2 linked regions of the Caenorhabditis elegans genome follow. The protein of the gene in region 2 purifies or fractionates together with the protein of the main gene of each other region. This does not show direct contact. Each region holds a gene or a part of one and is shown on either strand. Other genes may lie near its edges. The genes, in order: dpy-21 and dpy-26.

The links.
Region 1: the proteins of dpy-26 (region 2) and dpy-21 purify together in Caenorhabditis elegans (affinity purification with western blotting, with the first as the bait; one study listed by BioGRID). This does not show direct contact.

What each region holds. Positions count from the first base shown.
Region 1 is NC_003283.11:17,942,533-17,957,907, forward strand, and holds the start of dpy-21 (Lysine-specific demethylase 9), read right to left. Parts: upstream 6,662-15,375; 5' UTR 6,497-6,661; coding exon 6,473-6,496; intron 6,425-6,472; coding exon 6,374-6,424; intron 5,511-6,373; coding exon 5,416-5,510; intron 5,249-5,415; coding exon 5,099-5,248; intron 4,556-5,098; coding exon 4,488-4,555; intron 4,009-4,487; coding exon 597-4,008; intron 1-596. Other genes in the region: Y59A8B.24 (uncharacterized protein), read left to right, coding at 9,417-9,617; gck-3 (Germinal center kinase 3), read right to left, coding at 11,589-11,642, 12,354-12,514, 13,613-14,084. UniProt on the Caenorhabditis elegans protein: Histone demethylase that specifically demethylates dimethylated 'Lys-20' of histone H4 (H4K20me2), thereby modulating the chromosome architecture. Promotes chromatin compaction by converting H4k20me2 to H4K20me1 leading to transcriptional repression.
Region 2 is NC_003282.8:12,443,000-12,458,374, forward strand, and holds dpy-26 (Condensin complex subunit dpy-26), read right to left. Parts: upstream 8,337-15,375; 5' UTR 8,292-8,336; coding exon 8,250-8,291; intron 8,201-8,249; coding exon 7,858-8,200; intron 7,803-7,857; coding exon 6,823-7,802; intron 6,770-6,822; coding exon 6,048-6,769; intron 5,590-6,047; coding exon 4,972-5,589; intron 4,927-4,971; coding exon 4,833-4,926; intron 4,345-4,832; coding exon 4,276-4,344; intron 4,227-4,275; coding exon 4,122-4,226; intron 4,074-4,121; coding exon 3,558-4,073; intron 3,506-3,557; coding exon 3,203-3,505; 3' UTR 2,886-3,202; downstream 1-2,885. Other genes in the region: C25G4.17 (C-type lectin domain-containing protein), read left to right, coding at 1-36; Esterase C25G4.2, read right to left, coding at 269-580, 630-826, 879-1,035; C25G4.3 (Ribosome-binding factor A), read right to left, coding at 1,539-2,087, 2,751-2,885; Transcription regulator spe-44, read right to left, coding at 9,286-9,716, 9,764-9,976, 10,274-10,482, 10,543-10,639, 10,701-10,869, 10,927-11,082; smz-1 (PDZ domain-containing protein), read left to right, coding at 12,193-12,321, 12,369-12,632, 12,687-13,118; C25G4.7 (uncharacterized protein), read left to right, coding at 13,961-13,973, 14,021-14,148. UniProt on the Caenorhabditis elegans protein: Required for both chromosome condensation and segregation and for X-chromosome dosage compensation depending on its binding partners.

The sequences.
Region 1 (15,375 bases), on a different chromosome or scaffold from region 2:
TCGAAAAAATTTCCCTGATTTCATATTTCAACATTTGTGTACCCATGAGTTTTCCGAATTTTCACGCCAAATACGCCATGTGTCGATTTACGAAATGTTTAATCTTTATCGAATGCTGAATTTCGTTTTTCAACGAGTTTTCATCATTCCTTCGACAAAAACCGACAAAAATGAGGGAAAATCGTCGAAAAACGGAAATCTCCATCTGCTAAAGATTCAACAATTCGTAAATCGAAACATGACGTCTCTGGTGCCAATATTCGGAAATCTCATGGGCGGCGCACACATGAAATGCAAGCTGAAATATATAAAGTCAGGGAAAATTTTCAGGCACCTTTTATTTCTCCACCTTTAAAAACTGGCTTTTTGGATTTTTCGGTCGGTACTACTTCCTTTTCTACGCCGCCACTTTTGAAAAATATTCAAAAACGTTCATTTTAATACTATTTTCATCTTTAGGCTTACATGAAATAAAATTACTAATGGGGTTATTCAAGTAGTGTCGTGAAATAAAAAAATTGTGTGTAATGTCACTTTTTTATTTTTATCAACTCCTTTCCCCCCAAAAACCGTCAAAACCCATCCAAAAAACGCACATCTCATTTGGTCCCAAATGCTGCTTAATTTGATTATAGTCACACGAAATGATAGTTGCCATTCCATTGGGATGCCTGCGTATTCTCACAAACTTCCTGAATCTCGACGACATTTTCGGCAGATCGAATTGACGAGTAAGCATCTTCAAATTCCGATTCGTAATCCTCATCGTTCCACCCTTTCCATGAAACTCGGCTTTTTCCGCCTCATTCTTCGATCTAACATAGTCCGGATGCGATAGTGTCTTATTATTCTTATGATTCTTCCGCTCCTTCTCATCCTCCTCAACCAACTCGATCGCACTCTTCGACATCAGTGTCGTCGGCACTCCAATCTCTCGTTGTCGCTTCACAACTGCCTTCAGAATCTCGGAACGTCTCGCCACATTCGCCTCTTCCTTCAGCTCATTCTTCCGTGCCAGATGATGCTTCAGACTCATCGATCCTCCTGCACCTTCGGATCTATGATTCGACGATACCGACTCCGCGCGTTCCGATCTCATCGGGTAAAGGATTCCGGCAAGTGTTCCATTGTTATTCGTCGGATCATCCATACTATCCTCGAGCTCTTCCTTTCCTTCAATAATGTCATGAAGTCGCTGACTCGCTTTACTCTTCACAGGTCCTAGAGTGGATACTACCGAACAATCCCTGGTGCTCATTCGGGATCTTCGTGCCTCCTCGATCTTCGCATCAAACATCGCACGCTGATCAGCAGTCATTACTCGTTCTTCAGTTGTTCCATTCCTTCTTTCAGGCTTCTCAAGTGTCGATGGCTCCACAAAGATCACCTCATCCTCCTCCGACGTATTCGGTGTATGAAGCGAAGAACTTCGCATAGAAGTCGATGGCCCAGGAGGTGTCTCACGATTCTCCACCTCCTCCGCCTTCTCATCCTTCTGCTCGACTGCGGCGGCGGCCTTCGCCGCTGCCTCCGCCTTGCGCCGCTTCGCCGCCAACTCAATCTCGATGAGCTTAAACTGAATATGATCCAGCGAGCTGTGCTCCATCATAATCTGCTTCTTCCTCGACATCAACTGCTCCACAGGCGGTGGGGTATGCGAGGTGACCGGCGCCTGCTGCGGTGGTGGTGGTGTAAGTTTCTTCTTCTCGATGCGCTGCTTCTTTCTCGGCAGGACAATCGGAGTCAGTGTTGTCTCTGGCGGTGGTGGTGGGGATGGGGATGGGCTCGGCGAGGCGCCGCGATCCTTCTTGCGACGACGTCCCGGCGTCTTTTTGGGGCGTCCGACCATTTTGAGGGCGGCCTTCGTGACTACTGGAGCTTTCTTGATCTTTTCCACCTTTTCCGGCTTCTTTGTGGAAGTGCTCGTAATCTCATCAATCGTCTCAATATCAATAATCTCATCCTCTTCCATTGATGCTGGTACTGGTGCTGTTGCTACTGGAGGTGGTGGTGGTGGTGGTGGTTCTGAAGCTCGAGGTGGTGGCGGCAACTCCGCTAGAAGCTCCAATGACGATGATCGAGAACATTCCGACAGTGGAACCCAGGGTTCCTGGGTCTCCACTACTTCTTCTACTACTTCTTCTACTACTTCTTTTGCTACAACAGGCTCTACTTCCATAGGTTCTGGCTCCACTGGTTCTGGCTCCGTTGGTTTCAGCTCCTCCGACACCACTGGCTCTGGCTGATCTTCCACTACAGGTTCCACTATGGCTTCTACTTCCACCACAGCTGGCAGTTCCTTGGGCTCCGGAGGCCCCACCATGCTCGCCGTCTTATTCTTCTTGTTTCGCCACATCGCCATCCGACCGCCCAGCGATTTTCTGTCTTTTCCTGGCGCTGGTGGTGTGGATCGTGCCATGAATTCTGCTCGATCCTCTCGGCGGGGTACAGGGCTGTGGCGGGATGATGTTGGAGGTGGTGGTGGAATGCCTGCCATGGATGCGGCACGTTCCTCCCGGCGGGGTGGTTCTTCCACAGAAACTGCCGGTGAAGGTTCAGGTATCACTGCTTCAGCAGCTGCCACCTCAGGTTCCCTGGGGGCATCCGAAGGCTTCGGCGGCTCAGCTGGCTCGCTGGGCTTCGAAACATTCAGAAGATCTGAATGCTTTGGAAGCTCGTTCCGCAGAGGTTCTGGCGGTGGAGTAGCACGCCGTGGCTCTTGCGGAGCAGCATAACCATTCTGTACAAGCTCTGAAGCCTGCTTTGACGGCTCTGGCTGAACGTTCTGCAGAGGCTCTGAAGCCTGTCTCGGCTCGTGCTGAAGAGCTTGTGCAGCAGCTAGCCTATAGCCATTCTGCGGCGGTTCGGCCTGCAGAGGTTCGGCTTGCTTGACATGATATCCATTCTGCTTGGGCTCGGGCCTTGGCTCAGGCCTTGTTTCAGGTTCCTTCGCCGCAGCAGCAGCAGCAGCCAGCACAAATGGCAGAGGCATCTCCTGCTTGAACACAAACGGCACAGCTCTGATGGTCTCTTCCACGACGACTGGCGGCTTCTTCTCGGCAGGAGGCCTCGTCACCTTCGCCGCCTCCTCGAGTATCGCCTTCTTCCTCTTCTCCGCCTCAATCTTCTGCCTCTCCCGCTCCTCCTGATGCCTTTTCGCCTTCTTCGCCGCCTTCTCCTGTTCCTCAGTCTCCTGTTGCTTCTTTCTCTTCCTCTGCATATGCTCCAGTGAGTCCGTGGATGACGTCACTGTTGCCGGGGGGCTTGGGATTTTCTCTGGAGCCTTCGTCTTCGGCGTCAGAACCGACGAGAACGATGCATCCTGAACCATCGGTGGCGATGCTGCTGCTGATGCTGCTGATGCTCTAAGATCTGGTGGCACTGGTGGAGGTGGAAGAAGTCCGCAGAACGATGAGTTGTACGATGTCGTCGGTGGAACCGGAATCGGACGAGGTCGTGGTTGTGGTGCTGGTGGATCCTTCTTCACACTCTCCACAGTTGTCTGATGAGCTCCGTTGAGCAACTCCCGAACATCCATGTTCAGTGGCTTCTTCGCGGGTGGTGGCACTGGTGGTGGTGGATGAAGGCTAAAAGATCCATTACTCTCCACACTATTGAATCGTTCTCTCGGCACTGGGGATCTCAGCATCCCGGGTGACATCGTCGACGATAGACAAGCAACTGGTGGAAGGATCGGCGGAGGTGGGATGCCTGATCCATTCCAGCTACGGATTCCGATTGGCTCTTTGGTCCTTAGATCAGGCATCGGAGGCTTCGGAGGCGGTGGAGGTAGGCGATCGCGGTAGGCAGCCGCAGCCGCCGAGGCAGTCATCACTGGTGGTTGTGGTGGTGGAATGATGGGTGCAGGTGGTTGAGTGACATAGTTCGGACGAGGTTGATAGTACGGCGATGGATTCATGTGTGGATAGTATGGGGCGCCGTTGGACATTGATGGTGGTGGTGGATGTTGGATGTAGTAGGATGGTGTCGCCGGATGTTGGGAAGGGCCTGAAAATTGGAAGCTTCTCTTTTTTTTAGGCTTGAAGGTTCTTTTTAGGCTTTAGGTTTAGGCTTGAAAAGCCTGAAGAAATCGGATTTTTCTAAGGATTTTCAGGCTCGTTAGCTGGAAATTTTCGATTTTTCGAAATTTTTTGGTCGAATAATCCAATTTTTATGACTGTAAAGGGCTTTAAAGTTGGGAAAAATCGCAGAAATGCGAATTTTTCCAACTGATTTATGACAAAAATTGAGATTTTCGGTGGTTTTTTAGCTTAAACATGAGAAAAATGTCAATTTTTCAACTAGATTTTCGGGCTTAAGCTCAATTTCAATAGTTTTAACTAGAAAAATTCTGAAAATTTCAAATTTTTAGATGAATTGTGTCAAAATCCTCAGTTTTAGAGGCTCAATTTCAGGCCGAAAAAACCAAAAAACGCCTAGTTTTCATGCTCCAAAATCGTTAAAGTACTGCAAAAATCAATAATTACCAGGAATTCCTTGTTGTGGCATCATCATCGTCGGATACGGATACGGATATCCTGTAGAGCTGCCGTATCTGAAAACATTGGGAATTTTAGAGCTCTAAATTTGAAGACCCCCAAAAAATATTGGCTTAAAATTCAAAATTTACGTGAAATTTCAAATTTTTTATGGAAAAATTTGTGAAAATTGCGGAAGAGTGGTGCTTAAAATACTTTCAGGAAAATAATTTTTGAAAAAAAATTTTTTTTTGTTGGAATTTTTGAATTTTTGAAAATTCAAAATTTAAGTGAAATTTTGGAATTTTTTTAGAAAAAAAGTATAAAAACTGCGTAAAAGAGCTTAAAAAGCATTAGAAACACCAAAAAAGACTCTACAAAAATTAATGACCACTGTCGGGGGTCGAACCCCGGACGGGTGGGTGCCAGTCGGACCGCTAACCGACTGAGCCACTTGCTCCCCAAAGCAAAAAAAATAATTTTGAACTTTTTTCAAGTTTTCGCCTAAAATTCAAATTTTCAGTGAAAATACGAAAAAAAAATTTAAGTTTTTTCGTCAAAAAAAAAACTTTTACCAAAAAAAAATTTTTTTTCGAAATTTTAAAAAAGAAAATGCTCACGTTGGATAATAGGAATATGGAGCAACAATTGGCTGCTGCTGTTGCTGCTGTTTTACAGGCTCATCCGGCGGTGGAAGAGGCGGAGTTTTAGGCCCACGGCGTGGGCGGTATTCACTATAATCATTGTCATGGCTGCTGCTCGTGTGTCCGCTGAAAATTGGGGAATTTTTTTTCAAAATAATAATTTCCAGAGATTTTCAGCTATTTTTGGGTGAAAATTGGAATTTTCTAAAGAAAAATGTCAGAAAATAGGTCAAATTTCAGCTTCAAAAATTTAGGCCAATTTTCAGCCGAAAAACCAAAAAAAAATCGCCTACTTCTGAGGTCCTTGTGGTGCTGGAACAAACGAATCATTGCTCAGTGATGAGCTCGACGAGCACGGCCTTTCGTTGGCTTCTGTGGGTTCTCCGTCCTGTAAAAATCGATTTTTTTTTGCGGTTTTATGTCGAAAATTGGGTTTTCACTGTGTTCTCAAATACAAAAATTAACAAAATTTTCGAATTTATCGTCAAATTTCAGTTCGAATGGTAATTTTTCAACAAAAAAAAATTTTTTTTTGGGTGCACAAGTGGCTCAGTCGGTTAGGGGCCCGACTGGCACCCACACGTCCGGGGTTCGACCCCCACTGTGGCTCATAATTTTTGTAGAGTTTTTTTGGCATTTCTACATCAAAACTTCGTATTTCTATCGAGATTTCCGGTGAAACTATGTTCTTTCAAGTCCAAAAGTCGTCGATTTTTAGGCATTTTTTGCTCTAAAACTGAGAAATTACGAGAATTAGAGGTTTTCGGCCTTATAAAAACTAAAATTTGGTTTCAAATTCGAAACCTACGGAAAAATTCAGATCGAATTCTTTTTTTTTTGTTGAAAAAAACAATTTTTTTTGGTGCAAAAGTGGCTCAGTCGGTTAGTGGCCCGGCTGGCACCCAAATGTTTGGGGTTCGACCCCCAGCTGTGGTCATTATTTTTTGTAGAGTGTTTTCCGTGTTTCATCACAAAATAAATTGGGTATTTGATTAGACAATCAAGTTTTTTAGACTTTTTTGACTCCAAAACTGATAAATTTCGATAATGAGAGGTTTTCAGCATTTTCCAAACTAAAATTTGATGACACATTCGAAATCTACGCAAAATTTCAAATCGATTTCAGTTTTTTTTTCGAAATTTTTTTTTGGGTGTGCAAGTTGCTCAGTCGGTTAGGGGCCCGACTGGAACCCACACCTCCGGGGTTCGACCCCCGGAAGTGGTCAAAAAAAATTTTTTCGAGCTACTTACAGGTGTTCTCGGTCCACGCGGACGTCTCGGCTCTTCAGGAGCACCAGAGTTCTGCAAAAATCGATAATTTTTTGGGATTTTTTTTCCTTCGAAACAAACCTTATCAAAAGTGGTGCTTCTCATATTTTATATCACTTTCAGACAATTTTGTTTGGAGATTTTTTTTTTTTGATGTTCTTCTTCTTAATGTGCAATCATTCTTCCTTCAAAATTGTCGTTCAAAGTGCAAAATTGTTGTTCGGTTTTGTTTTTTTTCTGTGTTGGCGCAAATTTGGGTCTGAAATTTGGAAAATTTTTTAGAGTAAATCGGAGAAGAAATGCGGAAAATCTAGGAAAATTTGAGAAAAAATAGGGATTTTTCGGTGAAAAATAGACAAATTTGGCACAATTTCGATGAAAATCCATATAAATTGAAAGAAAACGCTGGTAGCACAACTTTAACGTATTAAAATTTCCGGCCAAAAAGCTATTGCTTGCAGGAATATTCAGGAGAATCAGAATTAAAATAGATTCGAGATACATTCCATTTTAATTAAGCCTATGGCTATGACGAATTCGGAGTTAAACACGAATAAATTAAATTTTCCCAAAAAAAAAATCGATTTCTCAATTTAAAACATAGTTCTTAAACACTATAAAGGGCAATTTAATAAACTGAATTAATAACTATAGAGTTAATTAAATCATGCTCGTTATAACTTTTGATTAAAAGGATTTCTGATTTTCGTAATTTAACTAATGGGGTTATTCAAGTAATGTTGTAAAAAAATTATTAAAATACATGTTTTTATGTATTTTAATTAAGCAGCTGTGATGTCATTTTTCTACACTTTTTCAATTTTCCGCGACACTACTCGAATAATCCCATAAGCTATAATGGAGCACTTGTTTTATTCATGAAAATCTTAACTTATTGAGTTAAAAACATTATTTATGAACGCAAATTATTTTAATAACTTATTAATAATACGTCAAAGGTGAAATTAAACAAGGTAAGTTCATAAATAATAGCTATATTCGGATTTCTATATTCTATTGTTAATTTAGTTATAGTCTAATCAGAAGTAATAAGGACGGAATGCGGAAATCGCAACAAAAAAAAAAGGTTTACGAGAATTTGTGTTCTATAAACAATACGAGCATTCGGAGAGAAATATGACACTTTTTCGAAATATGCTAGGAAATTATATTTCAATATATTTAAAAGTCCTCTATAATAATAATTATTATTGATTTAATTTAATTGTACTCTATTATCAAAATATATAAACTGACATGTGAAACGTGGCTTATTTTTTATTTTTCCTTTCGTTGAAATTTTAATTTATTAGTTCATTTTAAAAAAATGGGAGGAGCTCAAATAAAAAACAAAGCAAAAAAAATAAGCCACGTTTCACATGTCAGTTTATATATTTTTGATAATAACGAAGAATTTAAATTAAATTATTAAACGTACTCATTATTAACGCACCAACTTTAAAAAGGTGGTGTAATTATATTTTTACTACGTCAAAAGTGAAGAAGCTTAATTTTTTTCTATACTAGTGTTAATTATAATAATTTCTTAATTCTAAGCTCAAAAATAATAGTTACATTCGAAATTCTTCCCAAACTATAATTTCGGTTAATCTGAGTCGATAAATGAAAAAAAAAATCGTTTAATTAAGTTACTAACGAGAATTTAAAATATTTCGCAAACTTTGCAAATTTTCTTCAAGAAAATCTGAAAAATATAGAAAAGTCTATATATCGTAAATATTAACGTGATAATGAATAGTGACAGCGGAATTATTTTTTGAACAAGACGAGGCTTTCAAATTCTTATTTTTTATAAATTAAACTTATTAGCAAAGATACTTATCACGATTTGTTAGTAACTATTTAAATTAGTAAATAAAGTAATTTTACTCATTCAATGATTAAAAGTAACTAGTAAGGAAGTATTACATTTAAATCAGCTTCTATAATAAAACATTAACGATAAACTAAAAACTAATGGGGTTATTCAAGTAATTACGTCACAACTGTATTAAAATACATAAAAGCATGTATTTTAATACAGTTTGTAACATTACTTGAAATAAACTAAACCCCATAATTTATATGATTTAAAACTAAATCTCCGCTTAAAAAACATTAATTTCTACCCATTTCAAATAAAATCGGCTTTCGAAATAAATTGAAATGAATTAACCTTAGAACTTTCTAATCAAATTGTTTGCTCTTTCTAAACTATATATTCAACTAAACCACAAAAAAACGATCACGATATAATCGTTATCACTATCGATAGCGATGGTGCACAAAAAAAATTCAAAATCCAAATAAAAAACCACCCCCGGCGGTAAACGCGAAGAAGAAGAAAAAAGGGGGCCTTCGTCAGCACATCGCCGTGCAGAGAGTATCGAGAGACATAGAGAGTGTGTGTGTGTGTGTGTGTGTATGCGTGAGAAACAAGAAGGACACGCGACGCGACCGCGTCGCTCCGGCTGGCTGGCCGGGAGAGAGGACGAGAGGGTCGAGGCGAAAGGGGAAAGCGCACTTGCACCAAACATCACGGGCCGTGAGGCGGCGGCGGGGAGAGATAGAGAAGGAAAAGAAGCAGAGAGAACAGAGGAGATGGAAGAACTTTCGCGAAGGGCTTCAGCTCTTCCACGGGTAATGTCAGCTTGTCCCATTGACCTCTGGAAAGTAGATCGCCACGTGGTTTTGATGCTATGACGTCATTATTTTCAATAGCAAATGCACTACATTGCATTTGTTGTCCCCACTTCAACGAGTTTAAAGGGAGGCGCATTTATACAGTTTCGGTGTAAAATGAGCGTAGATCACTGTATATTTATCACTTATTTCGTATTTCTGTTGTTTTTTCATAGATTATTTGTGATCTACGCAAATTGTACACCGCAACTGTATAAATCTCCGTTTAAACTCGTAGAAGTGGAAAAACAAATGCACTGTAAATAAAAATCTGTGACGTCAGATTTTAAGGTCAACCAAAGAAGCTTCAAACTTTGGTTAACTGTAAAGCCGGAGAGCTTGAATGCTCCAGCCCTTGCTTTCTATGCCCAAACTTCTGAAACAACGACGAAACGTGAGGAGGTGGTGTGTGTGTGCACTGAGCCCCAGTTGTCATTTCTCGTTGCTAAGGGCAGAGGAGCCGTCGACGCCGCTTGATAAGAGCAGCTCGCGGAGCCCGCTCCAACATCCTTTTGTTGTCAGAATGAGGACGTACTGGGCGTGAGAGAAACAGAAAAAGGTTGCTCACGGAGCCTGACTTTCTGGCAACTCAGGGAGCCTTTTCAGAAGACCACAAGAAGCCAGGAGCCCGGTGGATATTTACTCAGGCTTATCAGAGAGCTAGTTCTAGCCAAGTGTAGAGAAGCTCACGGAGACCTATCTCAATAGGCTCGAGTATTGAGCCGAGTACTCGAAGCAGCTCAGGATCTATGCCCTGGTAGCCGGCTAGCCTGAGAGCCGGTGAGCTTAAAGCTCAACTCAAGACTAGCGCGGAGCGCTGGGCTCACAGAGCCCTGCAATCACTGTTAGAGAGGACATGTGTGGGGTTAGAAGAGAGCCGGTGATAATAAGAAGACGTGCTCACGGAGCCCCACGCAGGTTGAGGACACAGCAGATGGGTTGTCAGAAGTAAGAGAGGAAGAGTGCGGGTGCTCATGGAGCTCACAAGAGGCTCCGTGCTCATTTTTGGGATAGTATACAGATTGCGGAAGTTGGAGTTCTGACGGAGGATTTTCAGCGACTTTTCAGGGGGCAGAGTTATCACGGAGCAGCTGTCGGCTCACGGAGCTCGCAGCAGATTTTCGGGCAATTTTTAGCCTTAAAAAATGGGCCGCAGAAGAGTTATTGGAAGAAATTGGAAGGACTTGCTCGCCGAGCACAACTGGAGAAGCTTAGCCAAATTTTTTTTCACAAAAAAATTCTAAAAAAGCCAATTTTTTTGTAAATTCTCAGACAGAATTATAATGCTTCAAATTTCTTTTAAAAAAGATGAATATCTATACAATTTTCAATTTTTTAGAAAAAATTCAAAAAAGTCAATTTTTTTAGTGAAGCAACCTAAAATTTTCAAAAATAAATTATTAAATTGAATTTTTTCGGAAAATATTTTCAGCTTTATCAGAAAAAATCCAAAAAAAGTCAATTTTTTCCGAAAAAAATTGTAATAAACCAAATAAATATGGAAAAAAAGTTTTTTCGAATAAATTCGAATTTTTTTCCAGAAAAAAACACAAAAAAGTCAAATTTTTGTGTAAAATACCATTAAAATTTTAAAATTTTCACAAAAAAATCCAAAAAAAGTAATTTGTAAAAGATTATTCATTAAATTTAATTTTTTTCGGGAAAACCTTTAAAATTTAAATTTTTTAGAAAAAAATGTCGAATTTCAAATTTTCTTGAATTAATTTTTTTGGGAAAAATCTTTTACAAAATTCAAATTTTTTCGGAAAAATTTTAAAAAAGTGAGTTTTTTATTAAAATATCTTAAAAGTTTCAATTTTTCAGAAAAAAAACTGAAATTTCAAATTTTTGAAAAACTCGGGAAAAACCATACAATTTCCAAAATTTTCAGCGAAAAAACCAAAAAAAAAATTTTTTACGTAAAACACAAATTTTTCAATTTTTTAGAAAAAAATTTTTCGAATTTCAAATTTTCTTAAAATAAATTTTTGGGAAAAATCATAAAATTTTCATAAAAAATTGAAATTTTAGTCCTAAAATTTACAAAAAAATCAAAATAAAACCTTCGAGAAATCCAAATAGAAAACTCAAAAAATCAGTTAAAAAACGAAAAAAAAATCGCTAAAAATTATTAAAAATCCATTTTATAAAGAAAAGAAAAAGAAAATAAAATTCTCATAAATTTTTGGAAAAAAGCGAAAAATTGGGGGGGGGGGGAACAGTTTTGGTATTTGTCATCTAAAAATCAATAAATCAAGCGAAAAAAAAGGCGGGGGAGGGGGGGGGGGGAAATTTTTTACAAGAAAACTTTTTCTCAGAAAAAATCGAAAATCACTTTTTTTGTGTGTGTTTGCGGGGGCGGTGTGGAAGGCGGAGCAAATGTAAAATCAATAAAAATTCAGAGTTATCTATATTTTACAACAGAAAAAAAAACACAAAAAAATTTTTAAAAATAAGGCGGGGGGGGGGGGGGGAGCTCGGCGGAAAATTCAAAAAAAGAAAAGAAAAAAATCGTTTAGTCGAGCAGCGAAATTTGGGCGAATCCGGTCAATGTCCGCTCGTCGGGGATCTGGAAAAAAATTTATAAAATAAAAAAAAATTTATAAAATATAAAATTTATAAAAAAGAAAATCTTTTTTTTTTTGGAAAATATTTCAAATTTTTGAAAAATAAATTATTTAATTTAATTTAATTTTTTTCGGGAAAAATCATAAAAAAATTGTAATAAAAAAAAAATTTCTCGAAAAATTTGAAAATATTCGACGAAAATTTCGATTTTTCCGTAAAAATTTCAATAAAAAATTTTTTTTCTGAAACTGTTCAGATATTTGGCCAAAATTTCAACTTTTTGGAGGGAAAAAAGTGGAAAAAATTGAAAAAAAAAATTTTTTGAAATAAAAAAACGTCAAAAAATTAGCAAATATTGCTTTTTTTTAGAAATTCGGCAAAAATTCACACTTTTCGAAAAAAAAATCAAAAAAAATAACTTTTTTCCCAGAAAATTCAAAAAAATATCGATTTTTCAAAAAAAATTCGTCAAAAATTCAATTTTTTATTTCAAAAAATTCAATATCTTTTTGGAATAAATTAACAAATTTCAAACAAACTTATTCTTCAATTTTTTAAATTTTTTTTTGAGAAAAAAAATTCAAAAAGCCTAATTTTTGGAAAATATCTTAAAATGTTCAATTTTTTCAGAAAAATTTCACAGAAAATTTTCAAATTTATCACAAAAAATCCAAAAAAAAAAGATCTAATTTTTTTAAATTAAAAAATTTACCTCATTAGCGTGTACTCCAGAATTCAATGCAAACGTTATCGACCGTCTATCAGACTTTGATTCAGCAAAATCGATAAGCTTCTGAAGGTTGGCAGCGACAATTACCAAATCGTGACAGTCGATGAGTTCAGCGGTCACTAGTTCGTGAGCAATTCCTTCAACTGAAAAAGAAACGAGAAATCGATAAATTACCATCTAATAAGGGGTTATTCAACTAATATTGCAAAATGTATTTAAATACTTATAGACTATTTGGGTCTACTGAACTACAAACTATTAGGTCTCCAAATAAGTTCCGAGTCAAAAATCATAACTTTGTTCGTTGCGTATCGATTTTTATGAAACTGTGGGAATTTATGTTATCAACGATGATCTTTCATTTGACAATAGTCACAAAATTTTTTGACCGTCCGAAGTGCCCTAACTCAGAGCCAATTTTTCAGACATTTTTCAGATCTCGCTTTTTTTAACCTTTGAATTGAGGTTTGTGTGAGGATTTTGCTTTGTTTAGAATACATTATTAGAAAACGACAAAAGTTTGGAAAAAAATCCGTCCAAAAAATTTTTTTTTGGTTGGTCGTCAAAAAATCTTCAAAAAAAATTTTTGTCGAAAATTCTTGATTTTTTATACAAAAATGATGTAACCATGTGCAAACTATTTTTAAACATACAAAACATTTGAGTATGAAATTTGGATCTCGAGAAATACTCAAAAAACTCGAAAATAATTCGAAAAAGCTGTGTTTTCTGTTATTATTTTAGTTTAATGGTTTTATTTCAAAATAAGACAAAACCCATTAAAAATGTTCAAAAAAATAAAATAAAAATTACTTCAAAAAGTCGGTAAAATTTGAAAAAAATGTAATTTTCAGTTCAATAATTGAATAAATTTCTATTTTTCAGAACACATGATTCCATTATTGTCGGAGCAAAAACCTATGTTCGAAAAATGTGAAAAATTAGATTTCTCAACACAAAACACCTAAAAATTCGCAAAAAATCTAAATTTTCTGAAATAATTACTGAAAAACCTCAACTTTCAGCAAAAATCGCTAAAAAATTGGAAAAAAATTGCAAAATTTTAAAAAAACATTATTGAAAAAGTCGTTAAAAATTCTCAAAAAACAGAATTTTTCCACAAAAATCGTCGTTCCAAAACTCAGTTTTCTGTCAAATTTCCCTCTGGCTTCTCTGGCTTCACAGTATATTTTACTCTCTGGCTTCACAGTATATTTTACTTTTAGTAAAATATTCCGTACCAGTATCAGCCGACTTTGTATAGTCAAACTTGATATCATTGAGCTCTCGCTGTTGATTCCGAACTCTGAGCACCATATTCAACGTCTCTGGACACGGAGTGGTGGCTCCTCCACCTTCCTGAGCACTTGGAGCACCACTTGCTGCTCCTCCAGTGGCTCCTCCAGCAGCTCCAGCTGCTCCAGCTCCTGATGCTGAAGCACTAGCCTTCTTCTTCTTCTTTTCACGTTCCTCATCCTCCAAATCACTATCATCATCACTTTCTTGTGGTGAGTCGTATTCAAATTCCCAATTTCCGTGAGCATCTTTACGCAACTTTCCAGAAGCCACTTTTTTCGACGAGTGATGGGCGACTACTGGAACTGAAGCGAGATTCTCAATGAGAGTATGTACCAGATATTTCTTGTCTTTTCCTTTTTTGAAGAACGAATATTTCAAGAGTTCGGAGGCTGTTGGACGCTTTGCTGGGTCTTTCTGAAATTAGAATTGATAGAATCGGTGGCAAACCGGGGCAAACCGGCAAAATGCCCGACTTGAAAATTTCCGGCAAATTGCCGTTTTTCGAGTTTCCGGCAAATTCGTCAAATCGGCAAATTGGTGATATTGCCGAAAGTCTGGCAAATATCTGGCAAATTGCAGTTTTCGAGTTTCCGGCAAATTCGTCAAATCGGCAAATTGGTGATATTGCCGAAAATTCTGAAAACTGGCAAAATGCCCGACTTGAAAATTTACGGCAAATTGCCGTTTTCGAGTTTCCGGCAAATTCGTCAAATCGGCAAATTGGTGATATTGCCGAAAATTCTGAAAACTGGCAAAATGCCCGACTTGAAAATTTACGGCAAACTGCCGTTTTCGAGTTTCCGGCAAATTCGTCAAATCGGCAAATTGGTGATATTGCCGAAAATTCTGAAAACCGGCAATTTGCCCATCTGTCCAATTTGCCGGAAAAGAGGCAATTGTCGGAATTGAGAATTTCCGGCAAATTCGGCAAAGCGGCAAAATGCCCGAATTGAAAATTTCAGCCAAAGTAGGCATATTGCCGTTTTTAAATTTCCGGCAAATCGTCAACTTGCCGGAATTTTAAATTTCCGGCAAATTGTAGTTTTGCACCTTTTTTTTGTTGGTAATTTCAATTTTAATCGACAAAATTGCACGCATCCTAAACTTTTCGGCAATTTGCCGGTTTGCCGAAAATGAAAATTTCTGGCAAATTCTCTAAATTGTCGATTTGCCGGAAATCCTCTATTCCCGTAATTGGATAAAATTGCCAAAAATTCTGAAAACCGGCAATTTGCCGGAATTGAAAATTGCCCGGAAAATCACCGAAAATGAAAATTTCCGGCAAATCGCTAACTTGCCGGAATTGTAAATTTCCGGCAAATCGCCAACTTGCCGGAATTGAAAATATCCGGCAAATCGGCAACTTGCCGGAATTGTAAATTTCCGGTAAATCGCCAAATTGCCGGAATTGAAAATATCCGGCAAATCGCCAACTTGCCGGAATTGAAAATATCCGGCAAATCGCCAACTTGCCGGAATTGAAAATATCCGGCAAATCGGCAACTTGCCGGAATTGTAAATTTCCGGTAAATCGCCAAATTGCCGGAATTGAAAATTGCCCGGAAAATCACCGAAAATGAAAATTTCCGGCAAATCGGAAAATTGCCGGAATTGTAAATTTCCGGCAAATCGCCAACTTGCCGGAATTGAAAATATCCGGCAAATCGGCAAATTGCCGGAATTGTAAATTTCCGGCAAATCACCA
Region 2 (15,375 bases):
GCACCTGTTGTGAGAGCCAAACGAGATTTGATGTAAACAAGCTCTGATGAAAATATCCATGACTAAAATAACTGTTCATATTCTATATCCTATTCATTTCTATTGACAGGACGCTTATATTATTTTATAATATCCTGTTTACCAGATCTCTCACTTTTTGAAAATTTTGTAATTTGAAACTTTTACATGTAAATGAAAAATTTGTATTTATGCTGTAGTTTTGTGTTCGCAAAAACAACCAAAGCCAATTTATTATTCCTATAGAAAATCAATTATTTTCAATCTTCCTATCCAATTGCTCTCTCATAAATCCGGCAATCTTCTCCTTGTGCTTTGACATCGACGGTACAACATGCCCCCCATCGTGAGCTATCCGCAACGGTTCAACGTCAAACATGTCTGCCATTTTCTCGCTTTTTGGTCTCGCCACGATCTCGTCCGCGTCACCGAATACGTGCATCGATGGGAATTCTTTGATTCGGAGTAATGTCAAGGAGTCATGTTTGGAAGAGAGACTCAGGAATCCGGAGAAGAAAATGGCAAATCGGATTCCGGGAAGTTTGATTTCACCGAGTTGTGCCTGAAAAAATAGAATAATCAAACGCCTGGGAGACGGAGATAAATAAAACCTTGGCAATGAGCAAGTGAACCATAGAAGCTCCTTGACTGAAACCCAGTAACCCATCGAATGGCCCATTTTCTTCAATAAACTTGACAACTGCGGCCACAGATTCTTCGAATCCAACAGCTACTTCCGTAGATTCCCGAGAGGAGAAGCTCATCGCTTCGTTGTTTGAAAACCACCACGCTCGACTGGAATCAACATCTGAAAATAAAAAAAATTACTTTATATTAGAATTGCCAAATTAGGAACATACGTTCATCTACCGCCACAGAATGAACTCCATTCACAAATTCAAACTCTGCTAGAGATTTGACGAGCTTCCGAGTGGATCCCGTCTTTTGCCGGAATGATTGATCGCATTGTCGATATCCGTGAAGGCAGAGGATCCGGAGTTTCGGTTGGGAAGACATTCTGAAAGATAATGCGGGTGGAATATTTCATAGAATGTGAATAAGTATTACCTAGACACAAATTTTTGCACCAAAAAAATGTAATACCCGGTCTCGAAACGGCAATTTTTATTGAAAGCAACCGAGTGTGCGCCTTTAAGAGTACTGTAATTTCAAACTTTCGTTTCTGTGGAGTTTTCATCAATTTTTAAAGGTTTCTTGCAATTTGTTAAAATTGAAATATTTTAAACGAAAAACTTTTAAGATTCTATGAAAACAGTAAAAAAAAGAGGGAAAATACATGTACTCTAAAATTGTCGTGTCGAGACCGGATACTGTATTTTTTGAGCAGTTTTCGCGTCTAGGTAATAAGTCAATATAAATTAATAGGTATTTCACAGGTATAAACCAGTTATGATGCAAGAGAAAACTTCAATTAAAATGAAAAAAGGTTCATTTAAAAAAATTTTAAAAAACTAAAAAACAAATTTTAAAAACAAATGATTACAACTAATTTTCTTCTTTTAAACTTTTTTCTTTATGCTAGTCAACCATCTAGGTACATTTCTATTGTTCGGGCTCTCTTCCTTCACATTTCCCAAAACTCGTGCACTTTTACTCAATAATCGATAATCCATTCCATAATCTGCTTCACGGAATAACTTGTCCATTTCCTGTTCCATCAACAATGCTTTATCCCCGATAAACTTCACTTCAGGACACGTAATTCCAATGGATTCCTCCACTCGTCGTCTTATCTGGTGTTTCGACTCTTCCAGAAAATCAACAATTTCCGAATCTCCATCACCTCGACACATCCAATAAACGGACACTTGTGTGAAAGCTCGATCAACTCGTACTCGAGTAATTTGAAGTTGTAATCGCCCGAGCATTTCATCTGTTGCGACGACTTCGGCGATTCGTTCCTCAAGGATTCTGCTCAGCTGAACAACTTTTTTGTCGTCTAAACGTCGTTGTTTTGTTCCGAGAGAGACGAGTAGAAGTCGATCTTCAAGTCCCATATCGATACCGTATCTCATGCCCATCGTTTTTTGGAAGTTTTTGCCCAATGTCTGAAATTTCTTGTTGTTGGGATGAGAAAACTGGTGGAGCCATGATCATTATTACCAGAGGTCTCGACACGAATTTCTGTAAAATATAAAAAGACATGCGTCTTTAAAGAGTACTGTAACTTTCTCGTTGCGAAAAAAAATACTTTTTTTTGATATCAAGAAGAAATCCAAAAATACAAAATATTTTGATAATTGTTGGAATGTTGAAGAAAAATATGTCATTTTCGATTTTTCGCCTCTAGAAAATTTCGAAAAAAATTGAATTCCGAAAAAGCAGCCTACATTTTAAAATCTTTTTCGTTATAGAAGAAAACTTAACGGTTTCTTGTAATTTTTCTCAAAAAAAAACACAAAATTTGATAAAAATGTTGACATTTTTTGTTAATTTAAATTGACAAAAAATTAATTTTCGATTTCTAATTTTTTTCCCGAAAAATCAAAAATGTTTTCAATTTATTTATCATTGATTTTCTAAAGTTTTTCTCTCATTTCGTTGAGCTCGCGGTTACGGTACCCTTTAAAGGCGCAGACCCTTTCGCATTTAGACAAAAATTGTCGTTTCGAGACCGGGTACTGTATTTTTTGCGCGAAAATCGCAAAATTTCGCGCCTGGGTAATAAACGAAAGTTGAATTTATATTTTTCAATCTAATTTCCAAAGAACCTTATCATATCTCCACTCGAATCTTGAAAGAACCGAATTTCCACATCCACGTCCCGTTTTTCGATTCACATAATTTCTGGGTCCCTTCAGAGCCGCCGTGCTAGTGGTAATCCATCGGATCCCGTTTCTATACATCTGAATTCGTAATTTTTATGGAATCAGTGAATGCTTTTTCGGAAGAATCAGAAAGGGTCTTTGTATCCCTAGAATTCTACAAGTTTTATGGCTCGAATATCATATTGAATATTCATTGTAAAGAGTGATTTGACAGAAAACTTAAAATTTTTGGTGTCGGGGTACTCAATTCAGAGAGAGAAAAATAAATAAAGAAACTTCGAGTTTCGAGAAATGAGAGATAAAATGAATAAATACATCGAATTGGGTGGATTCTGAGATTCAATTTTGATACCGAAAATAAATGATTTTTTATGGAGAAATTTAATAAAGTATGCTTATTCTTCCATTTCTTCTTCTTCTACGATTGCTCCGAGATCACTTGTTGTAGGTTGACCACCTGCTCCACGACCTTTACGAACTGGTACTGCCTTCGGACGTCGCATCAAATTCGAGAACACATTATTCGCATCGCTAGCCGTACCCTCGATGGCGTCCGGATCTTGAGTTCGTTTCCAGAACTCGTCTTGATCCTCGATTCTTCCCATTTTCAGACCACGTGGTAGGCTTTCACTTGAATTGAGAACAATGAAATCAGACATCCAGGATCGCTTTGATCGATCTTGAACAATTTGCAAGTTCTGAAAATTTAGAATGAGTTTGAAAAAATAAACTCAAAAAAACTAAACATACATTTTCATTGGCAATATGCAATAGGAAGCTGACGATAGACGAGGGCCTAACAGTCTCTCCCATTCTGGAAGGCATTGAAAGTGCCAACGAAAGAAGTGTATGGCATCCATTTATATGCACTTTTCTATTTTCAGTGTTAGCAGTTCCATATGTAGATGTAGTTGGTTGATTATTGGGACGCTCATCTGCTGCTTGATAATCTGGCATCTCTGTTAGTGCCTTCATCGTTTCGTTCACATCGTGATTCGATTTGTTCGGTGATCTATAGTCAAACACTGACGTCAACGTTTTGTCGGCCTCCATTGTCGGTGTTGCAGGTCTTCCGGTTTCATTACGATCATCGGCAGCTCGGATAGTTGTATTATTCATTCGTAGAGTCTGATTAGATGTCAACTGCTCCAGAACATATTGAATTGAAGGCATCGATAGACTATCAGTCTTCAGAATTTCAGCGAGACACTTCTTGTGCTTGGCGGCGTCAAGATTCTTTGCCTGGATCGACTGGCGATCGAATGACTGAAAATTATACAAACTTTTTTAATATAAATTTTTTGTTAAACTTACATCGTCAAATTCATCATCTGAATCTCCGTATTCACCACCGTATCGTTTGGAATGGATATTCGGGAACATTTGATTAATGTGACTTGCGGTCAAGGCTAGTTTCCTCTGAAAATGTTCAATGAGCACTGGAAAAAATATTCCGTCTTAATTTTACCTGCATATCCGGACCCATTTGTGCAGCAGCGAGTTGTTGTTCATAGTTTGGATCGTATCTGTCTTCGTCCTGTAATTAGATGCCGAATTATTTTGTAGTTTTCTCTCCGAAAATACGGTATCAAGGTCTCGAAAAGACGCATTTTTTGCAAAATTTTTGTTGATTTTTCAATAAATAAAATTTATTTATTAAAATCTGTAAATACACTAAAAAGGAATTGTTTTCTCGTGCTTTATTTCAATTTTTAATTAAAAAATCTGTTTTATAGAAAAATCACCGAAAACATCGCATCAACGATAGTCTAAAACTACAGTACTCTTTAAAGGCGCACACTCGGCTTCATTATAAAAAATTGTCGTGTCGAGACCGGGTACTGTATTTTTTGTTCTAAAGTCGCAACATTTCGCGTCTGAGCTATTTAACGGTATCGATCGTCGAAAACTTTTGGACTTTTGAACGAGCTTTTTTTAACTGGAAAAATCAACAACGAAAATTTTTCGATTCTCGATTATTCAGAAAACCGACAGGAAAACCGGCAGGTCTTAACAGAAACGTACGTAATAATCGTTGGCAAAATCGTCATCAAACGGTTGCTCTACGGCAGTTCGTAGATTCTCGTCCGAGTCAGAGCCAGTGATAGGCTCCGGATTTCTGAAAAATTAACAATTTTATATATATTTAATCCTAGACACTCACTCCATGCACCTGAATCCACTGAATGAAAGTAGCCAATTGAGACAATCCGAATCCTTGTTTCCTCTGGCTTCATCAATGAACAAATCTTGCTCAGCCTTTTGATTTTTGACACGTTCGAGTCGTATTTTCCCATATGATTTCTTGAAGAACATCCCGCTGTTACCGAGAAGACCCATTTCAAAAGCGACATGCGGCTTGTTTTCAATTCCCAAAGTTGGAAGATATAACTGTTGTTCCGAAAGGAAAGTGCTCTTCTCATCAGCAATTTTAGAGCATTTTGCAGCAGTAATTTCTCGTTCAATCTCGTCATCAGGAATGTCACGGAAGTAATGAACGAAATCTTCGACAGTGGCTTTTCTGCTCTTCGCTTTCTTTTCTCGCCGTTTCCGTTGTGCTGTAACCGCTGCTTGTCTCTCTTGATCACCAACGACTGGTGGAACCCAATGAGCATTGTCGTTCTTTCCGATATTTTGAATCTCTTCACGCATTTCTGCAGATGGTCCAACAAGTTGTGGCGGTGGTGCAGAAGTCATCAACTCTGCAACTTCATCGGCTGCAAGTGCAATGTCCTCAAGCTCCCGTTGAACATCTTGCTCATTTCGTTCTTCTACTTCAGTTCTGAAATTGAAAAAAAATGTGGATAGTCTTTTCAAAAATGTTGAATCTAGCGTTTTTCAAAGGTAAAATTATAAAAAAGCAAAGAGTATCCAATTAATATTGCCGGAAACTCAAAATGTCGAAAATAGGGGAAGCGCGGGAATTCAGAAAAGATTTAACTTTTTTTGCAAAATTGTTGAAGAAATCTCAAAATAGTTGTGGTTATTCATTACTCATGTGATGTAGAAAATTTTTTAAAAAATGTATTTTTATACATTTTCCCCCCTATTCGTCTAGTTTTTGTATTTTTTTGCATTTTTCGACACTCATGAATAGGTGAGAATGGATAAAAATAAATTTTTGCATTTATCTACATTAAATGAATAACGGTTTTTTTTGCTATATTGAAACGTTCTTCTGTCATTATAGGCAACAAAAAACCGAACAGAATCAACTTTCAATTCAAAATTGAAACTTACTCATCCATCTGCTCATTAAAAAGAATATCAGCCACCCTTCCATCATTTCTATTATTATCTCCTTCCATTTCCTCAACTTCAACCGGAGCTGCAAGTCGATCATCAAAGTCTACATCAAAAGCAGCACCGCCGGCATCGTAATCCATTTCCTCAATAGGCTCCATATCAACATCTTGTTGTTGCACTTGTTCCCGTATTTCTTGTTGAATTTGTTCTAACGGAACATCATCTTCAGCTGTACTATCCTCACCAGACCACATTTTCATCACATCAGACACTTCATCATTCACTGTGAAGTCTGCTGGACGATCTCCAGGATAGTTATTCATATAATCATCCGATTTCACCAAGAACAAATTCTTTCCAATTTCCGGAACCATATTTCTATACGATTCTTGCTCGTCAATCGCATTTTCATCCAATTGAGAACGAGCTTCTCGATTTACATTCATTTTTACAACATCATAGTTGGTCCATGCATCAGTTGCCTTAATCCAACCTTCGATTCCAGCCTGACGTGGATGTTTCGTGTCATTCTTCATAATTGCCTCATCATCTTCACCCCATTCTTCTGCACGTATTCCATTTTTCCAGACTTTTGATTCAAGTGTATCAGATGTGTTGAACACTTCCAGCTTCTTATCAAACATGTTGGCTAATGTTTGATCCATTTCATTCGGCTCAATTGGCAGTTTTCCAATGAGATGCTCATCGAGATCATTCTGGAAAATAATTTATATCATAAATGTATTCAGAGGCGCGCAAAAAAACTTACAGCTTCAAGAGGTGGAAGAACATATTCGTCACTCGCTTTCTGTGACACAGACGACTGAAGAGGAGGTGTAAGCCTATCTAGAGCGATCGTCTCATCGTTTTCTCCCTGGGCGAGTGGTAATCCTTGATTTCCTGGAAGCATTGACATATCCGATGCTCCTGCCACCGTCATATCCAGATTTGAAGGCCGATGATTCATCTCTGCGAATGTCAAGTTGGCGAGATCTTTCTCACGAGACGATTCCGCCAATGGTAGCGTTGACTTCTTCACATCCTTTGACATTATTTTGTATCTCCCAATAACTGGGCGATCTTTGACTTCGAGCATCAAGTAGTTGTCGAGAATTCGTGGCTTTTTGTCTAATGAATTGGTGAGGAGAGCTCGTGTATTTTTTACAAGTGAGACAGACACATCGGACGTGAAAAACCGATCATCAGCATTCTTATCGGCAATTCGATTATGCAACATAAGAGTTCGTCCATCGGGAGAATGAATTCCATAATAATTAAGAGAATGGAACGAGTTTGATGAATTGCACACGGATCCTTTCGTTGCCTTTTGAAATGTCGGGTTAGCTCTCAGCCAATCGATATTTGCGTCTTTCAGATCATGAGCCGTATCATCAGCACTTATGTAATTGGAAACATCAGAGAGAAGGTCAGCTCTGAGATCAGTTGCTCGTTTGATTGACAATGCATAAATGAGTTTTTCGGGGAAAATGTCTCTTTGAAGAAATGCGTCAACATCTTTGGAATTGGCTTTGAAATCAATTCGTGGCTCTCCGGCAATATTTTCCTCATCTTCTTTCCAATTCTTATCATTGTCTGCGTCAAGTTCGGTGGTTGTCAGAGCATCATCCATATTATTGAGAAAATCGAGCATTCCATTCATTCCGTCAACAACAGCCATTTTCTTTTTAGCTTTTCTGCTTTCCAGTGTTAAATGAATTTCTTCACCATTTGAATCTCGCATAACAGTTCCTGTAATAAAAAGAAACGATAAATTCCAAGAATATTAAAAAAAAAATGTAATTACCACTCGAGAGAGCTGAATCAATTTGTCGAACGTCGTGGTGAAGCCGATCGACTCGATAACCAATAATGCACTGAGCTCCTTCGAGCACAACTGCCATCTCTTGGATTGAAGCTTTTGCTTTGATCATATCTTCGATTGTATGAATTTCAAGCGGCGATTTATATTCGAAACAGTTGAGCTCTCCAACTTTTTTCTTATTCACAATATCGTCGATATGGGCGCCAATTTTTGTCATAATTGTTTCTGGCACCACATCCGCTGGCCTAATTTTTTTAGTTCCTCGAACTTTACGCAATGGGGTAGATCTGAAGCCATCATCTTCGTCATCATCTAGAACTTGTCTCTGAAAACATTACGTTTTTGGTAGAAGCAGAACATTCTTCTTTTTTTACTTTTCTGCGTCCAGTGACGTTGCTGGATGATGGTACATCCATTTCCCTGTAATTAAAACACAATTTTAGATAATAGAAAGCAGGAGAAAATAAAATATATTCAAACAAGAAGCACAATTCAATTCAAAAGTCCTCGTTGCTAAACAAAGGGTCGAAGGGAGACCGGAGTTTCGTAATGATGTTTAGTCGTCTGCGACTCTTGTCTCTCGTTGTCAACGCGGGAACGAGGCAGTTCGCACACTGAGAATCCAAAGAGAATGTAAAAAATTCACAAATTGATTGAAATTGTTATGAAGTAAATATATATTTAAAAAGAAAGTTTTTCTGATGCCTTCGACCGATCGATAAAGCTACAGTTCAATTAAAGGGACACATACAGAAAATATCTGTTCGTGGCGAGACCCTACAGTAATAAAAATATTCGCGAATGAAGATTTATGCTTTTGTGCGAATTTAATTCTCAATTGTTTACTTATGAGCGGAGTATTATCTCTCTCAAGAACAAAATCCGCTAGCAGATGATTAGCACAAATTCTATTCATCTGAAAACCGATTGTGCCCTTCTGAAAGCTTGTTGTTTGCTCAATGATATATTTTCGTCTCTATCTCTTTGTTGCCATGACACTTTGATGAGTATTCGTGTGAAACTCATTTTTTGGAATCAAGTCGACGCAATCAATAATGTTGTTGATGAAGGCGTCTTAATTCCAAAAGAATGAGGTTGAAAATTGAATATAAAAAAAATAAACATAAATTAAAAGATATTCCAGTATTACGTTGTGACGAGTAAGAGTTTGTAAAACATGAATAGAAATTTCAAATGAACACGATTTCATTATAAAGGCATGAAACATTCTAGAAGAACTACAAACAATTTTCACCGGTATGTTGAGGGGGGAAAGCTCACAAGTAAGCAGTGGGCTATTCCACTGGATCAGAATTTAATTATATTCTATAAAACATGAAGTTCTAAAATACATACGAAAAAATGCACACACTATTTGTGCGTTTGTGGATTAAATCCGTAATTGTTTAATTATTGAATATGACTAGGTCCTGGAAGACATTCAGATTCTGGATAATCGTCGTACTTGCAAACATCAATAAGTTCCTCAACCTTCTCTTCTGTAAATTCTCGAGCAGTGTGAAGACTCTCTTGACTTGAAGATGATGTTCTCGGCTGATATTTGACACTGTGCTCCTCGGCCAAAGTTGATTGAATATCGTTAAACATTTCGTCATGTTTCCGCTGTTGGTAAGCGTTTCGTTCAATCGATTGAACACGATGAACAACGACAGGTGGAATTCCGAGAGCGAATGCAGTACGAGTGAGCATGTTGGCAGTGGTGGGAGTGACAGGATTATCCATAACGGATTGTTTCAGATTGATTGCACTGACAATGATGTCGTCGCAGAAATGACCGATAACACCGGTTTGTTGCATTTGAGACCAGAAATTCATAGGATCTGAAATAAAAATAAATTAGTGATAAATGTTATGTCAAATAGCTTACCGTTCTGCAGACAATTGAGAATATCATTGAATGGCGTGCACTCATTGGATTCCTTATTTGAAGAAGTTGGCTCTTCATTAGATGACATTGATTGCAGTGGTGGCGCATCAATGAAGAACTCCTCGAAGAAACGATCGTCTTGTGGCTCCATTTTGACCATTTGTCTGGGCTTGTTGACACTTCCACGTGGACGTCCACGAGCTTTTTTGGCGCCTGAAAAATGATATGTTTCCAGAATACTGGTAGTTATACAAAAGGAGCTAGTTTTAGAATGTTCTAGCAATATAGAATAATGTTTCCTTTATCTGAAAAAACTTATATTTAAGTTGGAATAGTTGAAAAGATGCTCACAAATCTCAAACTTTGAGACAATATTTGAGCACTTTTCCGATTGTTCCAACTAAAATATAAGTTATTTTTAGACATAACAAATATTATTCCTAAATTTTAATGAAAAATATTGAGAGAACATGTCAAAACTAGATCCTTTTGTAGAATTATCGGTCGTACTCTTTCTATTATCATCATTATCCGCCTCTTTTCCAGCCATCTCATTTTCGATCTCATATTTAAGTTGTCCGGCTTCAGATGTTCTCTTGGACTTCCGAGCTTGAAGCACCTCTTCAGATGGAGCATTCACATAATTTCTGCTTTGACACTTTCCACTGCATCGATTCATATGCTCGTAGAAGTCGATGGTCATTGCTTCCATGTGAGTTCTAGAATATAAAGTTTTGAGAAACAGAAGTATTTTAAGGGATTATTGTCTTGATGCTCACCTCAACGAAGATCTTCCAACACGGATGCTCGCCTTCCAATCTTTCTGACGCTCTTTGTCGCCACGGATTGTGAACTGCTTCGGAGAAAGAAGATCGTCTGAAAATAATTATATTATGAGACCCATTTTAAATTATCTGAAATAAATAAAATAACGAACTTCCCACTTCAATACACGGCTGATGAATCCCAGGGCACATGAACAGGTTGAGATGCATCTTTCCATTCACGACACCACAGGAAACTGGCACAGTCGGTGACGCATCTCCTTCGGGAATTGTGATCTGCAGTGGTGTTATAGGGCGCGGAAAATCGTCGTTTGCCGGATGCTGTAAAAATATGAATTATTAAAGCGATGTAATTATGAAAAAGTAGCTGAAACTCACTCCATACAAAATTTGATAAACATTCCTTTGACTCTCTTGGAATGGAGTCATCGTGGAATGATGATGATCAGATCCTTCGGCTTGAAATCCATCACATGATCCAGAAATCGGATGAGACGGCAACACGGAAGCAGCGCTCACGTCTCCACCGAACATTTTGACGTTGCTTTGCAATCCGAATAAAACCGTGAGTCGGGCGGGCCGTTGCAAAGTTCGCCACGTTTCACGTTAACACGTAAAGATTTCCGCGTCATTCTTTTTTTCATCTTTTTGGTACCACTTCCGATAAGCTGAAATTTCTTATTATTTTCGTTGGCAGATAAATAATGAATTTTTTGTTTTAAGAATATTTATTCAAGAGAAATGGTTTCAAAACGGGAAGAATCCAACTTTTCAGAGAGTTTTCTTTAATTTTTTACAACAAAAACACAATTTTCACACTAAACAACAGTTATTTAAATTAAAAATCACAAGTTGAACACTTTAAACGCGAAAAATAGTGAAAAAGTTCATAAAAAAGCAAAAGTGTGAAAATAATTGCAGAACAGAATTTTCTACAGTAACCTTAAAGGCGCACATACGAAATCGCGCGGCGCGTGGCGACACCATTTTACGATATTGGTCCTCCCTTGAACCTTCTGAAATCAGAAAGTTTTACAGTAATTGTAACATCACAAGATAGGAAAAAATGAAGAAAATAAAAAATAAAAAAGTCAAGAATTTTAGGATTGCAATTCAAAGGTTTTTACCGATCTTTTTAAAAAATAATGAGAATTTTGTTACTAACTATGATCTTTCATTTGATAGTATTAGTCATTAAAAAAAAACACACAGATCACCTTAAGTTTAAGAATACAATGAAAAATTAAGCAAAAAAATTCGTTGAAAACATTTTTTAATGCTCGTAAAATTGCTCCAAGGTTGATTTTGCCTTTTACATTTAATGATTTCAAATTTTGTAGAGGTCAATGTTTTTATGAGAGACTCGTAGGGACGGATTTTTTTTATTTGAAAGTTCAGATAGTTGAAAATATTTTTTTATATTTTTTTTTGTTAGAAACAAAAAATAATATTTTTACTTTAAAATAGAGTTTTTTAGACGAAAAAGTGATTACGTGACATGACCTTTGGGCCTTGTTTTTTATGGCCTAATTAATTCAGCATAAAAGGTCCAGATTTCGTCAGTTTTGTTCATATTTCGTCCGAAATCTTGAATCAATCGTCTTTTGAATCGCCAAAGCAGCCAAGAAGCAAAGGAGCAGAAGCATGGGTTCCGAGAAGATGATCGAGATCTGTATCGATATGGAAGAAGGAGAACCACTTGGTGCAACTCCGAATGACAAGCTTGTCATCACTAAAATCCAGGCTGGAACTATTTCCGAAGGAAAGTTGAGAGTAAGTTCTACAAAAGTTTAACCATTATTCTATGAAAAGTTTTATAGATTGGTGACCAAGTCAAAAAAGTCAACGGGCAAAACTGCAAAGATTGCAATGACTTTTTCCGTGCACTTCGCTTTGCAGCTCCATGTGCAAAAATTATGGTGAACCGCGATGAGAAGAAGGCCGAAGAGTTGGAGGCTCGTGTTCATATTCCTGAAGATCGTGCAAAGATCATTCAACGCCGTGAAGGATACGTCTATGAGTTGGCAACTCTTGTTTGGGTTCAAAATGGACCAAAACTTGGTTTGGGAATCAAGCATTTCCAGGTAAGAAATCAATCAAATCAAATAAATTCTAGGAAATTCATATATCTATTTCAGAATCGTGTGCTTGTCTCCCGTGTTGATCCTGGATCACTCGCCGAAAAGTGTCTCGTTCTTGGAGATCACTTGTGTGATGTTGATGGTATTCCAGTCAGTGACAAGGATGTTGCCAGAGACCTTCTCGTCAAGAACATTCAAGAAAAGGGAAAAGTCACTTTCGTCGTCGAGCGTCCCGATTCGATTGATGCCAAGCAATGGGCAAAGCAGGCATTGGCAACCAATCTTATGCAGCCACCATCTGTGCAAATGAACGAGGATGTGAAGGGCATTGCGTCTCAATACCGTCAAGCTCTTCCAGGATTGAAGCCTCCAGCAAAGAGTGCTATGTCTACTGGTCCAAGCGCTCGTCGCGTTTCAATTGTCGAGCAAACTCAAACACATGAAATCGGGCATGATCATGAGGGAAAAGCTCTTCGCAAGGTCAAGTGATGTGCCAGCAAGATGCCAGAAATCGCAACGTCTAGCTCGAATAAAAATTTTGTTTGAATCGCTTCTGCTGATTTATTTTGTTTTATATGTTCGAATACAGATAGTTTTTTGGGTATGTGAAACGCCCACAAAATGGCTCCTTTTAGGCAGGAGTGGTCAAAATACTACCGTATTGCAGACGATTTTTGTTTGAAAGTTGTTTGAATTTCTGAAAAAGGCAGAATGTGGTTACAGCAAGTCTCTATTAATATCAGCTCGTTTACTCCACGTGTTCCTCGTTTACCAAAAGCCCTGACCATGTTTTAGTGGCCCAGAAGAAAGTCTAGTTCTGGCTTACCGTAGCCTTAACAAGAGTTGAAAAGCCATAACTTTTGATGGCATAGGAAGTACCCACAACACTGAGCCTCTCGCAAACAACTTGCTTTGCTCCACCTTCAACGCTTTCATTTTGAGAAGCTTTTGATTGCAAAATAAATGGTAATAAATTGTTTTTTTTTGACATTTTTTTGTTGAAAAAACAATTTATATTAACTTCTTGAACCCATAATAAAATCAGCAATGTTAAAGGCCTTCCTATGCCTAGTTTCTGCATTTCTGCGCCAAATTTGGTGTCTGTGTCTTGACAGATAAATACATGGTGCATCGTGCAAAGATTCACCTACTGGCAGGTAACATGCCATTGCAACTAATCTAAATTATCTTATTAACAAACTTTCATTCAACTTTTGAATAAAAAAACGTGATGATCTCACGTTTTCAAAAAACATTCTAGTGCTTATCGTGATTTTCTCGATTATTCCTAGCTATTTACAATATTTCTTCCAACTTTCGTGCCTCAAATCATGAGCAAACCTGGTTAGTTTTGAACGCTTTTTAATGAAATTTTTGAAACTTTTTTTCAGAAAGTGTTCAAGAATCCCTTGATACAATCACATTTATTCACTCTTTTCAAATTACGACCACCAAGGTTGAGCATATGAAGCCGAAACGTTTTACCACGGTCCATCAGTACTCGCTGATTAATTGGTAGGTGATCTCACAGTTCTAGGGGATAGAGAAAAGGGGAGATGGAGATATGTGGGAACTGAAATTTAGTTTCACTCCCCCAGTCTCCCCAAGTGCCTACCTCATGTCTAACGTCTATTCACTTTGTCAGCAAAGAAGCAGTAAAAATTCATTTCGATTCCAGGGATATCGAAATATCGGTATCCCAAATACTTCAAGAACATCCCCAAAACCCTGAAGAACCGGTCGTCGAGAAGGTTTTTCGAATCAGTCTTTATCCAGCCGGACAACATCCTCTTCCTGTGCAGAAAGTGGAGTTCAAGTTAAGATTGGTTGACAATTCTGATGGAGATAATAGTGCGCTTTTGAAATAGTTTCCCAATTGCTTTTACAGACATCCTGCCACCTGTAAAATTCACCTATGAGCCTGACATCACGGACCGTGACGATTTCGACTGCATTACACCGGAACGTGGCGTGATTCGAGACTTTTTGTGCGAGGTGATCGGAAATCGGCAATTCAAGAAATACAAATTGGAAATTCTCACTGTTATCGTATTTGATATCAACAACTTTTTGAGCCTGAAATACTTCAATCGATTTGTTGGAAAACCGATGCCAGTCGAATTGGATTTCAAATATTATCTGTTGATGAATCAGTGAGTATTTTTGTAAGATTTCATATGAAGCCTAAGTCAATCGCATTCCAGAAAGACTCACAACTTCCTTCTCACCACCACTACTCAACAAGGATTCCCGTGCAATAAAGAAGCTCTATACGTGGCTTCTCCATATTTTCGCAACCATCTCACAAGTTCCATAACCAGTTTTCCACTGGAGGTACAATTCTTGGAAGCTATTGAAGTGGTTGGTTCTTATTATTTCTCTTATTCTGTGACGAAAATTCTTAAGGTTGTTACCTGGAAGATTGTGACACGTAAACACAAACAGAGACAGCTCATCGGGTCGATTGAAAGTCACTGCTTTGAGGAGCTGATTAAGGCAAGTTACAGTACCTCATGAGACCTGTAACACTGTTGTTTTTGCAGAACTGTGAGGACTTGGATTATGTGGAGAAGTTGCTCTTTATGGCTCACACTAATTATCTCGGACGTCTTCTCGAAGCCTGCAACGCCACTATTATCAGTTTTCATTTTGCGGATCTTTGCAGGGACATCCAACAAAATGTAAGTTATCACAGCAAAGAATTCCACATGTTTGCCTAATTTTTCTACACATTATTTTATGGCCG